Linked DNA regions of Saccharomyces cerevisiae S288C. The protein of the gene in region 2 purifies or fractionates together with the protein of the main gene of each other region. This does not show direct contact. Each region holds a gene or a part of one and is shown on either strand. Other genes may lie near its edges.

Region 1 (5,039 bases), on a different chromosome or scaffold from region 2:
ATTCTAAATACCAATTGCCTACAGAACAGGAAATCGCTGCGTATATTGAAAAGAGAACGAATGATGACACTGGCGCCAAAGTTACCGAAAGAGAAGTACTAAATCACTTTGCCAATGTGATTCCTTCTAGAAGAGGGAAACTGGGTATCCAATCGCTATGTAAAATTGTTTGTGAAAGAAAATGTGAAGAAGTTAACGATGGCTTAAGATGGAAATAAAACCTGAAATAGCAGCCCCGTGGCTCGTAAAGAATTTTGCCAACACTTCTATGCATGTAAATAATAAAAGTAAAACATAACGCTATATTTGTATATGGATGTTTATTTAATGATACATAGAAAACTGTCATTTTCTTTCTCTTTTCTTATAAGTATTTTTTTTTATAAAAGGCAAAAAAAAAAAAGTTTGAATGTAATAAATATGGTTCAGAAAGAAATTACAATAAATCAAAAGTTTTGAGTATCATTCAAGATTATTTGCATTTTTCCCTCATTTACAGGCTATTTTTTCAAGGCCTTTCTTCTGTTTCTAACACCTTCTGCCAATAGCTCCAATACCTGTTCGGTGGACTCCCAGCCAATACAAGCATCCGTAACAGAACAACCATACTTCAATCCCTCTCTGCCACCTTCTTTGGGAATATCTTGTCTACCTTCATTTATGTTGGACTCAATCATAACACCACAGAGACTATTCTCACCCTCCGTCAGCTGGTCATAAATACATTTGGCAACCTTTGGTTGGTTCTTGAAATCTTTATTACTGTTGCCGTGGGAACAATCGATCATAATTCTTTTCTGGGAATCATCAGTCAAACCGGCCTTTTCTAACTGTTTCTTAGTATTTTGAACACTTTCTTTGTCAAAGTTAGTACCGTTCTTACCACCTCTCAAGATCAGGAAGGTATCCTTGTTACCTTCAGTGCCCACGATAGCAGTGACACCTGGCTTTGTGACAGAAAGGAAGTAATGTTCATGTGCAGCGGCTCTCATAGCGTCGATGGCGACTTGCAAACCACCATCAGTACCGTTCTTAAATCCAATAGGGAAAGATAGACCGGATGCTAATTCTCTGTGCAGTTGGGATTCAGTAGTTCTGGCGCCGATGGCACCCAAGGAGAAACAATCACTCAAAAACTGCGGAGAAATGGTATCCAACATCTCACCAGCAATGGGTAATTTTTCAACCAGTTTTATGAACATTTCTCTCGAAATCCGTAGACCTTTATTGATTTGAAAAGAGTTATTCATATCAGGGTCGTTAATCAACCCTTTCCAGCCAACAGTAGTCCTTGGTTTTTCTAAATACGCTCTCATAATAATCAATAAGTCTTTTGACAACTTTTCTGAAATTTTAGCCAATCTGTCAGCGTAATCGTAAGCGGCTTTGGGGTCATGTAGGGAACATGGCCCGATCACGATAACTAAACGATCATCTTTACCATTCAAAATATCACAGACGGAGTCTCTTGCCTTGATAATGTTTTCCTCACCTTTGGCTGAAATTGGAAATTCATGTTGAAGCAGATCTGGAGGGGTTAATGGATCATAACCTTTGATTCTCCAGTCTTCCAAGCGTTTCCTGTCACCGGCGTGATCGTTTTTAATGAACATAATGCTATAAAGTGTTCTTGTAACGTAATAGGGGTAGTAGCTATAAATATAAATGAGAAATAGTGAAAATAAATATGTCGTTCGTATACAAGTAACAGGAAGAAAAAAAAGAAGAGAGAGAAAATGCAAACACTTATAAACACATGCATGTATTTAATGCAGCAAGCATACTTTCCGATGTGACTAATACTTGAGCAATGAAAAAATATAAAAAAGGAAAGTGAGGAAGCTTTTAAATATATGTCACTATGTACGCATAAATTTGAGAAGATACGCAGCTGCTTCTTTTTTTTCAGCGGCTAAATATGATGTTCTTTCCATACTAATTTTTAGCTGTCGATTAGAATTAAAAAACGTCACAACATAGGTTAATTAAACATAGACAACATAGGAAGTGACAACAGGTTCTACAGCAACCACCGGATTCTCTCCGAGGAGGAGGCTGTTGGACATAGACTGGTTGTTGTTGTGGGGCATAATGCATATTTTGATGATGCCTCATTTTGGTATTGCTAACTTAGACTTTTTTAGTTGACAATTAGGATTATTTTAATTCACAACATAACTGAGAAACATTTAAATACAGTTGAAAACTGGGAGGGGCGAGAGGGGAAGGAGAAAATGAAAAATCGAGCTTGTATAATTTTTAAATAGAAATTGCCCTTATTTCTTCGCCTTTTTCCTTTTTTCAGGGTATCGAAAAAAAATGCGAGGGGCTGTGCAATTCAAAGCCAAGAAAGAAAAATAAAACAAGAGGGTTAAAAAATAGAAAAGGTCCTACCCGGATTCGAACCGGGGTTGTCCGGATCAAAACCGAAAGTGATAACCACTACACTATAGGACCCTAAAATGGACGATTGGAACCTTCTTTCGTACCTTCTTGAACAAAGCATTTTGAGTAGAAAATTCATCAATCCTAAATTTGATATTGACTTAGGTTATGGTTTACTCTTCTTTACAGAAATACAAAAGGCATGCTGATTGTTGGAATAAAAATCCATTATCATCTATGATAATTGTGCGGATTCTGATGTAATTGTTGGGATTCCATTTTTAATAAGGCAATAATATTAGGTATGTAGATATACTAGAAGTTCTCCTCCAGGATATAGGAATCCCCATAATGGAATCTATATTTCTACATGCTAATATTACGATCATTCCTCATTCAGTTTTATATGTTTCATTATCCTATTACATTATCAATCCTTGCGTTTCAGTTTCCACTAATTTAGATGACTATTTCTCATCATTTGTGTCATCTTCTAACACCGTATATGATAATATACTAGTAACATAAATACTAGTTAGTAGATGATAGTTGGTTTTTATTCCAACAGTGTATCAACTAGTGGTCATACTATCAATATATTATCATATACGGTATTAGATGATGACAGAAGTTATGGAAAGCTTCGAAGTTAGAGGAAGCTGAAATGCAAGGATTGATAATGTAATAGGATAATGAAACATATAAAACGAAATGAGGAATAATCGTAACATTAGCATGTAGAAATATAGATTCCATTTTGAGGATTCCTAAATCCTCGATGAGAACTTCTAGTAAACCCTGTATACCTAATATTATAGCCTTTATTAACAATGGAATTCCAACAATTATCACAAAATTCACAGAATTTCCAGTTTAATATCAAGAATAGGTGGATAATACGGTAATCGTATGGCCGCCATTGTTATGAAAGACAGTTATTCCTAAGTATATTGAATATACCAGGGTCACTATCGAGAATGTAGAATTTCCCATAAGGAAAGCCATGAGTTCGTATAATATTATGATTGTCTCCTCTCTTCTTTTCTATATCATCATATGATTATTTCTATTGTGTTATTAGTTTTTACATTTCAGTCCTCAGTACTTTTGTGAGAGGAGCTAAAAAAAAAAAAAAAAAAAAAAACATTACTTGGAAAAGGGAGGCATAGGAAAAAAAAAATGTCTAATATCGAAGATTGAGGAAAAAAATAAGTTATTGAAGGATGCGAGGTTCGAACTCGCGCGGACAACCGTCCAACAGATCTTAAGTCTGCCGCCTTAGACCACTCGGCCAACCCTCCGTAAAATCACTTGCCTGTTTTCAGATTCTGTTCTTATTCGTTTAGGTAAGAAAGAATATTCAAGGGAGGATGACTTTCGAAGATTGTATTTTTCTTGTTGGAATAAAAATCAACTATCATCTACTAACTAGTATTTACGTTACTAGTATATTATCATATACGGTGTTAGAAGATGACGCAAATGATGAGAAATAGTCATCTAAATTAGTGGAAGCTGAAACGCAAGGATTGATAATGTAATAGGATCAATGAATATTAACATATAAAATGATGATAATAATATTTATAGAATTGTGTAGAATTGCAGATTCCCTTTTATGGATTCCTAAATCCTGGAGGAGAACTTCTAGTATATCTACATACCTAATATTATTGCCTTATTAAAAATGGAATCCCAACAATTATCTCAAAATTCACCCAATCTTCATGGTAGCGCCTATGCTTCGGTTACTTCTAAGGAAGTCCCATCAAATCAAGATCCGTTAGCCGTTTCAGCTTCCAATTTACCGGAATTTGATAGAGATTCCACTAAGGTTAATTCTCAACAAGAGACAACACCTGGGACATCAGCTGTTCCAGAGAACCATCATCATGTCTCTCCTCAACCTGCTTCAGTACCACCTCCACAGAATGGACAGTACCAACAGCACGGCATGATGACCCCAAACAAAGCTATGGCCTCTAACTGGGCACATTACCAACAACCATCTATGATGACGTGTTCACATTATCAAACGTCACCTGCGTATTATCAACCGGACCCACACTATCCGTTGCCACAGTATATCCCACCACTGAGTACTTCCTCACCTGATCCAATCGATTTAAAAAATCAACACTCTGAAATACCTCAAGCTAAGACAAAGGTGGGAAATAACGTCTTACCACCACACACTTTAACATCAGAAGAAAACTTTTCTACATGGGTTAAATTTTACATCAGATTTTTGAAGAACTCTAATCTCGGTGACATCATTCCAAATGACCAGGGTGAAATCAAAAGACAAATGACTTATGAAGAACATGCGTATATATACAATACCTTCCAAGCATTTGCCCCATTTCATTTATTGCCAACATGGGTAAAACAAATTTTAGAAATTAATTATGCTGACATCCTTACAGTCCTTTGTAAAAGTGTGTCCAAAATGCAAACTAACAATCAAGAATTAAAGGATTGGATAGCTCTTGCCAACCTTGAGTACGACGGAAGTACATCTGCTGATACATTTGAAATTACAGTCAGTACGATCATTCAGAGGCTAAAAGAAAACAATATCAATGTTAGCGACAGATTGGCCTGTCAACTAATACTTAAAGGTCTATCCGGTGACTTCAAATACCTACGTAATC
Region 2 (6,530 bases):
ATCATCACAGGCATTTTTGCTAAATATCTGCCTCTGCCTTGGGGCCACCGTTACAAATTTTGAGGAGAAGCAGGAGCTAGTTGATGAAGATAATCATGAAACCTATTATTTTGAGAAGTTCGAATTATGGAGACTCAGATCTTTCACTTTTCTCAATTCTGTCTATTACTACCATAAACTGTCTGTAGCACGCGCAGATATGACGGCATTAAAGGCATTACTGTTACTGGCAAAGTTTGCCCAACAAAAAATAAGTGCTTCATCAGCGGTCAAAGTACTATCCGTTGCTATCAAAGTGGCTTTGGATTTACGGCTCAATTTACATTCCACCTATGAGGATCTAGAACTTGATGAAATCATTAAAAGAAGACGCTTGTGGTGTTATTGTTTTTCAACAGACAAATTCTTTTCTGTGGTGTTGTCAAGACCGCCCTTTCTCAAGGAGGAAAACACTGATGTATTAACAGATGAAAGCTATGTTGAACTATTCAGAGATAAAATTCTGCCCAATCTTTCTATAAAATACGATGATTCAAAACTAGAAGGGGTGAAAGATATTGTATCCGTTGTAAACTTACTCGCGAATCACCTTGAATATGTACCATACATTCAATCATATTTTTTGTCGAGATTATCCCTCATAGAGTCTCAAATATATTACTCATGTTTTTCCATCAGAACAACTTTAGACGATACACTAGATGAAATCATTGAAAATGTACTGGAAAATCAAAAGGCGTTAGATAGAATGCGAGACGATTTGCCCACCATATTATCATTAGAAAATTACAAGGAAAACATGAGGATTTTATCTTTGGATTCTTCGAAGTTAGATTTTGAAGTGAGTTGTTGTACTACTATTCTATTACACCTCAGATGGTACCATCAAAAGATAACCCTGAGTTTATTTGTCATATCCATCATTGGAGATAACTTAGATCAACGGGAAAGTTCCCGGCATGATATAGCTGAAATTATTAGAAGGTCAAGATTGGATTTCAAGCGAAATTGCATCGAAGTACTTAATATTTTGAAAGATTTTGAATACTACCCTACTGTTCAGAATGAGTTTCTGTATTTTTCTCTCACAACGGTTTTTTCCATGTTTCTGTATTTGTCAGAGATTATGGTTAATGACGAACATGCCATGGAGACTGGTTATATAATTGGATTATTGAGGGATACACATACCCGTATGCTTGGATCTGAAGAACGCTGTCTTTCAGTACACAATCTGAAGTGGCAAACATCTCTTTTTTTTTACACTTTTTTTCTACGGAGTACGATGGAAAAGTTCAATCTGACAAGTAAATACGCAAAATTCTATGCCTTTGATTCAAATTATTATGAGGGTGTTCTCAATAGGTTAGTTAAGCATACGAGAGAATCAAAAGATGATATGGTCGAGCTCTTGAAAACTTCGTTCATAAATAAAGAGAAGATGGCTGCATTTGGTAGTTTCGTTACAGAGGACCAAGAAAAAATGGAAGTGTCCTTCAATATTTTCAATGAAATAACAATCCAGGATTTGAACTTCTTGCAATTTTCAAGCATTCCGAAATTGTGGGAAAATAAAACTCTTGAGCCAGGCGAGGAATATCATCATAGTAATGGTACCAATACTGATAATAACGAGACTACTGGCGCTGATGATACTGACGATAATAATAATAATAATAATAATAATAATAAAAATGGCAATAATAGTAGTAGTACTATTAATAATAATAACAATAACTACAGTAACAGTAACAATAATGACAATGACAACAATATTAATGATGATGATGATGATGATGATGATGATGATGATGATGATGATGATGATGATGATGATGATGACAATGATGATGATTATAGTAATAATGGTGCTGATGATGATGAAGAAGACGATGACTATGACAGATCTTTATTTCCAACAGGTTTAGCTTCGCTGCTTGATGCGTCATATCCTGAACGTACGGCGAATGATTATAGAGATGAGAATGAACAATCGAATAAATTATTCGAAAAGATTGAAGGCCATTTGGAGCACGGTGTTTTTTTTTACGATCGGGATTTCTTCTTCAAGAATGTGTGTGTAAAAATGTAATATTATATAAAGGACATTCGAGTAATTTAACTAATACATATGCATACGCGCGCGTATGTATTTCAGATACTTAAAAACTTCAAATCACGTATGAAAAACATATTGTTTACTTGAGGCGATTACACAATATCTTGTTTTTGACAAGATTAAGAAGCGAACTAAATAAAGTGAAAATAAAGTCGTTGTCTTAATACTTTAAATTGTCCAAGTTTGGTCCGTTACCAGTAAACTCTGGAAGGATGGCTGCAAATGGCTCATCGATGAATCTCACTGGGTATTTTTCACCGAAGTCGTTCAACTCTTGTAATTCATCCTTTGTCAAAGATGCGAATTCAATACTCGAGGAAATCCTAACTGGATTCAAGGATCTCGGAATTACGATAGTGCCTTGTCTAATATGGTAAGAAATTAGCAAGTCATTTCCTGTGACATTGTACTTTTCGGCAAGCTTTTTCACTAGTGGGATTTTCAAGTTTGGTGCGCCATGGGAACCTAATGGTGAGTATGCTGTTAACAGAATGTCGTGCATAAAGCAGAACTTTCTTAGTTCCATTTGTGGTAAGTGAGGGTGAGTTTCCACTTGGTTCACCGTTGGCTTAACTCTGCATTCCTTAATGAGACGTTCCAAATACTCAATGGAAAAATTTGAGACACCAATGGCTCTCACACGATGATCGTTAGGATCAAGGTAAATTTTTTCCAATTGCTTGTAAGTTTCTAAATAGTCACCGTCGGCAGCATACATTGTTTTTCCAGAATCATCAACCGGAGTCTTCACCAGTCCGCTGATCCCCTTAGGGTCCTTAATCTTTTCAAAACATAGCGGCCAATGTTGCAAGAGCAAGTCGACGTATTCCAAGCCTAAAGCTTTCAAAGATTCATTCAATGATCTGTCCACTTCGTCCCATAGAACCGGCCACACTTTTGTGGTTATGAAAAGATCCTCCCTTTTGATAGATCCATCTTCTAATAACTCCTTGATGGCTTCACCTACGAATGGCTCTGTCTCGTAGGCCCAAGCAGTATCAATGTGCCTGTATCCAGCTTTGATTGCAGCTTTTACGGCTTGTTTTGTTTCAGCTAACTTTTCGTGAGGATTTGCTGTCCCCAAACCCAGTGCTGGGATACGAACACCATTGTTGAGTGAAAAGTATATTTCTGTAGTCTTTGGATGCAACATATTTTCGACTATGTTTTCGGTTGAGGCTACTGAAGAAGACATGATAGCAGTTGATTAAAATCAAGACGCTTTTATCAATTGAAGGCGGAGATAGTGCAAATAAGTCCAGATGCTTGATATCCCCCTCTTTCCTTTTTACCCCTGTATTACGAGGCTCACTTTATATATTATAATTTTTCCAGGCGGAGGTAAGGGTAGAGCGGCTTTTGGTGGATTTATAATCGGCAATAAACGAGTTTTTAAGCGATCTATAATATTTTTATTGAGTGATAGTTAGATACTTAATGATTATATACTAGTAGCATTTTCAGTAAACGAAATTGTTAAGATGTTAAGGTGGAGGCGCCATTCTTGCTGTCTTTTATCAACTTTGTACTCTCTTTTTTCTTCAAATGTTGCATCAGTGTTTTGATATAGTTATCCTTATCTTGTAGCATCATTCTTAACCCACCTATTGTTTCCTTCTGGAAATTGGCAGATCTCTCGTAGAACCTGAAGTTCATTGTCAGTTGGTCGATTAAGGAGAAGTTGATGTTTGCGAACAGAGGGCCCAATTGCCTCTTGAAGCTGTTTTCTTGTAAACGAAATGAGGAGTCTTCGAAACAATTTTTCATGTTTAGCGCACTACAGCAGGTTTCAATCTTTATAATATTATCGTCGTTTTCCTTCAAATCATTGCCATAAACATTGTGGAATTGCAAAACCTCGCTGAGGCTTTTCAGTAATGTCAAAAACTGGTCGATAGTATATCTATTCAAGTCTAATCTAACGCTGTCAGCCCTTACCTGTTTTTTTTTTTTTTCAAGAGATTTTTCTAAGCCAAATATTCTCTTTTCCAAGTGTTTTAATCTATTTTCATTGTTTCTCGTTTCTCTTGGAAGATATTTCGAGGGTTTGAATGTGGATTGCTGTAATTTTTTTGAAGTTTCGTTGACGTTCAGTTCTAAAATGCCAGGACCCATATTGGATTTGGTAATCTCCTCATTTTCGTTTTCATCCGTAGATATGTACTCATTTGTTTTATTATTCGTACTTTTTTTTTTCAATTTGTTCATTTCCAATATAAGATCATTGTTTTTTTTACTAATGGATTCAAGGTTGTCTTTCAATGAGTTAATTTCCTGCTTATGTTGGAGATTTTCTTGCTTTAATGTTGACAAGTTCAAATTCTCCAATTTTAACTTTTCCAACTCATCTTGCTTCTCTTGTGCGTGCATTCTACCCTTTGAAATGTGGTTAGTAATACTTTCTATAACGTGGTCGCTCAATTGGTCGAGCTCTTCCTCCCAAGATACGTTTTGTTTCCCCCCTGAAGTCAAATCAATATCAATGTTCATAGTAGCCAATTTTTTGTTCAGATAGTCAATCACATGTCTCCCACCTTTGTGAAAATCATTTTCTACTGTTATATTAGGCTGAGATGTAAATGTGTTTGGTGTCTGAAACACAAATTTGTAAGGACCTTCAAGAACATTCTCCGGTGGAGTAGCAGGAGAAAATTCATCGTCACTGTCGTCGCTATACTCTTCAAAACTTTTTTCATATTCCTTTTTCAGACCTTTATTCTTAGCGCCTTTAGTCAAGCATTGATCCTTGGAAGGTATTTTCTCGGGACTTTTTGATTGCATAACATGTGAGTTAGCATCAGTGAAATGAGACTCATTCTCATCATCAGAAGAAAGTTCAACGGGCAATAGTAAGTTATTTTCATTCCTGAATTCTTTCACGTCATTTGCACTCTTGAAAATACTGTTTCTGATTTTTTTTGTGAAACTTCCTTTTTGGATGTCATGGGAATTTTCCTTTTTTGCACACTTATTGCTAGTTTTCTTCCAAACTAACGCATCATCTTCATCTTCCAACACAGACTCGTCCTTATTTGAGTTTGTTTGTTTGAAAAAAGATCTAACTTTTCTTCCTAGTTTTCTTTCTTCAACAGATTTTTGTGAGTTTTTGTCATTTAAGTAGACATCATTGACGTCATCTTCAACTCTATCTTCGCAACTATTTTTTAGGTCTGCTGTCGGTTTTAAAAACCAGTTTCTTAATGTACTATTTTTCTGTAAAATACCAGTATCGGAGGTTAATGCATTGTTGGAAAATCTGCCGCGTTTGGCCTCGCTACCCTCTACTGTATCGGCTAAGCTGGACATGATGTTATGTTCGTACGTATCCTTATATATGTTAATACACCGGTGCAATAACTTCTCTTAAAATCCTTCAACCTAGTTTTAGCTTTTTTTTGTTTTTGTTGGTGTGATTAAGTTAAAAAAATTATTAGATGACTACAGTGAATAGTTGAATTTGTCCCCTTCCTGTCACTTTTTTTCCTCTATGGATAGAGACCCCACCCAGGAAATGGCATTACTCGTTTTTGTGTTATTTTTTGTGTATTTTTTCAGACGCGTGTCAGCAAAGGGCATCGCCAAAATAACGACTGAGCCGTGATGGCGCTAGTAATTTTGTTTCCTCCATAAAATGAAAATACTAGTTCTGGGCTATAGCCGATGCGCATATGAGTAAGTTTGAGTTTTAAGTGGAAAGATTAATAGAAGCCAACTAGTTAATTATCTATTAGTATTTTCTCGTATTTAGGTTTGGCGTAAAGGAAAAATTGAATAAAAACTGTGAAGTCCATCAACAGCGTACCAGCGCTACCGATAAGCCAAGATGCTGAGAGCACTGAGATTATGAAAGAAGTGTTCCCTAAGCATGCAAATAAAAAGAATAGGAATGAGACTCCTTCGCATGATTTTCTTTTGAAGTTAAGAACAATCTGAGGGATCCTAGAGCCCAAGTACAGTATCGCACTTAAATACCCTAAAATTTGTGCAGGTAAATTAATCTGTTCGAACGCAGGTTTTTTTTTAGGAATACCGTTATCTAGGCCGGAACAGTAAGATATATACCATGACAAAATTCCGGCAATAAGTACACCTGAAACAATTAAGAAGTCATTGAAAAAATTCTCTCTTTCCTTTACGACTATTGTTCTGCCAAGCTCAAGCGAGCTATACGATTGGCTATCTTCTTCTTCTATCCTTGGCAAAAGTGGCTCATATTCATTAAAAACGTCTTGTAAGACAGTCTCATTTATGGGGTTTGCTGGAGGCAAATGCACAGGATCAACATTTTTCTTGACTTCTTGTAAAATGCTCTTCTTCTCCTTGTCATACCACATGCACTGTATTAACAAAATTAAATCTGCCAATGTATAGTAAGCAGCTAAAATTATCATGGTTGGGAGTAAATTTTGCA
Region 3 (4,106 bases), on a different chromosome or scaffold from region 2:
CATGAACCACCATTGGAGTTGAAGAGACTATATCAACCACCTAAAGTTGCAGAGCAAAGTAGAAGATTTATCACGTTTGTTCTTTTCCCACGTCATTTCCAGACAAAAGAGTTGCAATTCCATTCAATTTGCCAGTTAACATTGTTTAGAAACTACTTCCATTATCACATAAAGTGCTCTAAAGCCTACATGCACTCCAGAATGAGATTCAGAGTGGACTCGTTCATCAAAGTCTTAAATAGAGCCAAGGTGGACGAAGATGATGAAAATGATGAATTGAGTGCAGAAGGCAGACAACAGGCAAGAAGAACCTTCACCGGTAGAAAGATTGTCTACTAGAAAGATTAAATAAGTACGTAAGAATCCGTAAAAAGGGTTATAACTAAAAAAAAAAAAAGAAACATTTCAAAAATAATTAAGTCATTATATGATTATACATAAAAAAAGGTGAGATACAATAAAACTACTGTCACCGCTATTAACACTAATTCTGTTCTGAGCTAATTGGTTATTCCTACAGGAGGAACAACGCCCTCTCTGTTCTTGTTCTTTGGAGTGAAGTACACAATAAAATGGCCAGCTTTCTTGAAGGCATGACCTATATATTGAGCATCTTCGTAGACGGAGTAGCCCAGCCTACCTAACTCGGCATTTGATTTCCTGATTATTTCTGCGATTGGTGACTTTTCGATGACTTTTGCGACACCTGATGTATCCAGTAAATTGTAATTTTCATCGAATGTTAGCGAACCCACTGCTCTTGGCAATACTTCGGTGATTGGAATACTTGACTTCATGATATTATGATTATTTGTTGTTTTGCTTTTTTTTTTTTTTGGTTTGATATAGTATAAGGAAAACCTTTGTTTGGTTATATTACGCAAGATGAGATACAAGATCTATAAAATATTTTTCTCTATAATAGAACAATGTGTCTCTTATTTATACCCCTATGATAGCTTTACATTCCCTTCGAGCCGACCTCCTTCTCTGGTTCGTCCATGTAAAGAAGATGTCCAAAATGAAGGAGTCGACATAGTGTTGGCGGGATTATAAAAAATACCTTACTGTATGTAAGCAATTTTTGCTTGACATAGATTCAGGATACACAGCTAACTAGTAGGGGGTGTCCAAACTGTATCAACAAGGGGTTAACAGCCTGGCTATTAGTCTTTTCATCTTAATCTCGAGGCTTCCGGGGAAAGGGGCAGCCAAGCAAAGCGGAAAGAATCTGGGGAATAAACAGCAAACAATGCCGAAATGAATGAATCAGCGACATAAAGTCACTCAAGGGGAAAATGACAGTCTTGTCAACAAGAACAAAAACTTTTGTGTTGAGGGACGATGTGGTGTGATACGCAAAATATAAAAAATGGGAGAAGTAGATTACTATTTTGGGAAAGTGTAACAACCGCATGGCTCAGTGTATTTTGTCATTATTGCCGTATGTTATCTAGCAAGATGAGAAGCTGTTCCTGGAATCCTACTAAAACTTGCTTTTTTGCAACCGCTCTACCCTTTTACATTTTCTACACGTAGAGTTAAGGTTTTTATATCCGTTGTATACCTACCACTGCTATGTATGTTGAATCATGTTTGTGTGGATAGTCTACACACAAAGCTTGATAATGCCATACGAATAAGGTGGTCTTGCAAACTGATTCTTCGTAAACTCTGTAATTAACATTTTGTTTCAATCTCTCACTTCGCTTAAGACCAAATAATCTCCTTGAAAGAAAAGAAAACTTAAAAGCATGCTTTTCTCTTAGCGGAAGCCATAGGTCCAAAAGGGAAATATCCACTGTGGTTGTTATTATTTTTTTCTAAAGGGTTATTGTATATATTATATATGTTGTATGTTATATATGCACACTACGTCACTAAGATGACTTGTTTTATATAAAGTTACTTCTCGAGAAAATTCAAAAACATAGGGTGATTTATTGCGATTACTAAAGGGAAGGGTGGGGATAGAAAGAGCTAAAAAAAGAAAATGGTTAAGGTTAAATCATAGTATTGTCATTAGTTGTCATTATCATCAGAAAGAAAAAGAACCCAAAAAATTAAACACCTACTCAGTCAAATTCTCATCATCATAAAACTTGTACTTCTTCTTAATTACAAAGACATCTTTCAAAGCATCGTCGTCTACAAACCATGAAACACGACCGGCGGCGCCCTCATTGACAATACTACTAGGCAATCCCTTTTCAGGCCTTTCCATTATTGTCTTGATTACAGGCGCCTTTGTGGCGCCCTCTACAACAAAGGTGACTCTATGAGAGTGACAAATCACTGGGATGGTCAGTGAAATCCTATTCGAAGGTCCGCTGGGTGCATTTTCTACAGGTATGACCCATGCCAGATTTTCACGTAGATTCTCTTGAAAATTGGGGAATAACGAGGCTATGTGACCGTCAGGAGCGCAGCCAAGCAGAAACAGATCAAACATCGGTAGTTTCACAGAATCTCTACCGGCAAATCCTTTAATTAGAATTTTCTCATAGTTATCTGCACACTCTTGAGGGTCGTTAATCAATGACTCATCAATGTGATAAATTTTCGGAGTTCCGTACTTCTCCGTATCTATTAAATCGAATATTTTTCTCTTAGCAAGACCGTAATTGCTTTCACTGGAGCTAAAGGGCACTAGTCTTTCATCAGCAAAGTAAATGTCCCATTTACCCCATTGAACGTCGTCTCTTTTCAACAATCCTTCGTGCAACACTTGGATTAACGAACCACCGGACAACGCAATCTTGAAGCGCCTTTCTTTCTCCTTTTTCAATTTCTTAGTGGCGCCGTCTTCACTACCACCACGGCTGGAGGCATTACTCCTTACAGAATTTACTCTCTCCATCGTTTTGGATTCTGTGTTACCATTTCCGTTAAGGCTCGTTCCGGACATCTGTGTGGACCTTGAGACTTTGCCCTTCTTAAGGGCAGAGTTTTGTGCGTGAATAACATGATCGGCAACTGCCTCAGCTACTCCTGCAAATTCATGGAATGCAAACACTTTAGGTACGGTTGTTGTCATCTTGCAAAAAATTATTCCAGTTAAAATCTATTTTCTCGGGCCTCTTTTATGTACTAAAATGTTATAATATCTATTATCTTATGGTTTGAAAGAATTCTGCTCCGTCAAGCATACATTATAACCTATTGATAAGTAAATTGGAAGGAAAGTCTTCCCTAAATGACCATGCTTTAACTTTTTTCCAATATCCTTTTCCAGGGTTTTCCACGGCACAAAACGTCATTTTCCTAAAGCGAAAAAAAAAAAAAATTCTGCATCGTACAAGAATAGTATATTATTCTAAAGAAAATGTTTGCATACATATCTAATAATATACAAATATCTACATGAAAATTTGTAAGTTGCTCTCCAACTTGTTGTACATTTCCTCTAGTTCGCCATCTAGTGTGCTTAAGACTGTTATGGCCCCCCCTGCACCGAGTTGCCAGCTGGTTCCGCCGTTGTAGGAATACATACATCTAATGTTAACAGACCAATCTCCGTTGGAATTCACAGACCAATATCCCGTGACACCGCTGTAAACACCACGTGCTCCACCATTGACATGTTTGTTTAGCTTGCTTTCTATCTTGTCCTGCAATAATTGCACAGTAATCTTCTTGGGGGCTCCCGTCATAGATCCCGGAGGAAGCGAGTGTTTAAGGACATCAATGCCTGAATATCTCGTCTTCTTACTGGCAGAGGTCAATCCATGTGCCTTTACGACGCTAACGAGTTGGTAAACGGTGGCATATTCTTGCACGGACATGAACTCCTCCACCCGAACGTCAGGAACCAACTCGTAAAGGTCATTTCTGATTAAGTCCAAAATCATTAAGTTCTCACCAAATTCTTTTGGTGTCTTCAGGATTCGTGTGGCTTTTGCCAAGTTCATTTGCGGTCCTTTTTTCACAGTTCCCTTGATGGGACGTAGCTCGCATGTGTCTGCATCCCACTTCAAAAACCTTTCTGGAGAAGTACTTAAGAAGCACAAAACTGGAGGCGTTTCATCTTGGCGGGGAATAATGTCTTTAAACTCAAAAAAACTTGAAAATGGAGCCGGGTTTCTTTGTACCAAGGTCTGGAAAAT

What was found.
Region 1: the proteins of ARA1 (region 2) and ARO3 purify together in Saccharomyces cerevisiae (affinity purification with mass spectrometry, with the first as the bait; one large-scale study listed by BioGRID). This does not show direct contact.
Region 3: the proteins of ARA1 (region 2) and EGO4 purify together in Saccharomyces cerevisiae (affinity purification with mass spectrometry, with the first as the bait; one large-scale study listed by BioGRID). This does not show direct contact.

The regions. Positions count from the first base shown.
Region 1 is NC_001136.10:518,390-523,428, reverse strand, and holds ARO3 (3-deoxy-7-phosphoheptulonate synthase ARO3), read right to left. Parts: upstream 1,614-5,039; coding exon 501-1,613; downstream 1-500. Other genes in the region: mitochondrial 37S ribosomal protein mS47 EHD3, read left to right, coding at 1-218; cysteine-rich palmitoylated domain-containing protein CPP3, read right to left, coding at 1,960-2,115; YDR034C-A (uncharacterized protein), read left to right, coding at 2,737-2,913; YDR034C-C (gag protein), read left to right, coding at 4,073-5,039. UniProt on the Saccharomyces cerevisiae protein: Stereospecific condensation of phosphoenolpyruvate (PEP) and D-erythrose-4-phosphate (E4P) giving rise to 3-deoxy-D-arabino-heptulosonate-7-phosphate (DAHP).
Region 2 is NC_001134.8:536,771-543,300, reverse strand, and holds ARA1 (D-arabinose 1-dehydrogenase (NAD(P)(+)) ARA1), read right to left. Parts: upstream 3,315-6,530; coding exon 2,280-3,314; downstream 1-2,279. Other genes in the region: TBS1 (Tbs1p), read left to right, coding at 1-2,092; YSW1 (Ysw1p), read right to left, coding at 3,596-5,425; RTC2 (cationic amino acid transporter), read right to left, coding at 5,836-6,530. UniProt on the Saccharomyces cerevisiae protein: Catalyzes the oxidation of D-arabinose, L-xylose, L-fucose and L-galactose in the presence of NADP(+).
Region 3 is NC_001146.8:689,252-693,357, reverse strand, and holds EGO4 (Ego4p), read right to left. Parts: upstream 798-4,106; coding exon 501-797; downstream 1-500. Other genes in the region: ARC35 (Arc35p), read left to right, coding at 1-339; SOL1 (Sol1p), read right to left, coding at 2,072-3,037; ABZ1 (4-amino-4-deoxychorismate synthase), read right to left, coding at 3,360-4,106.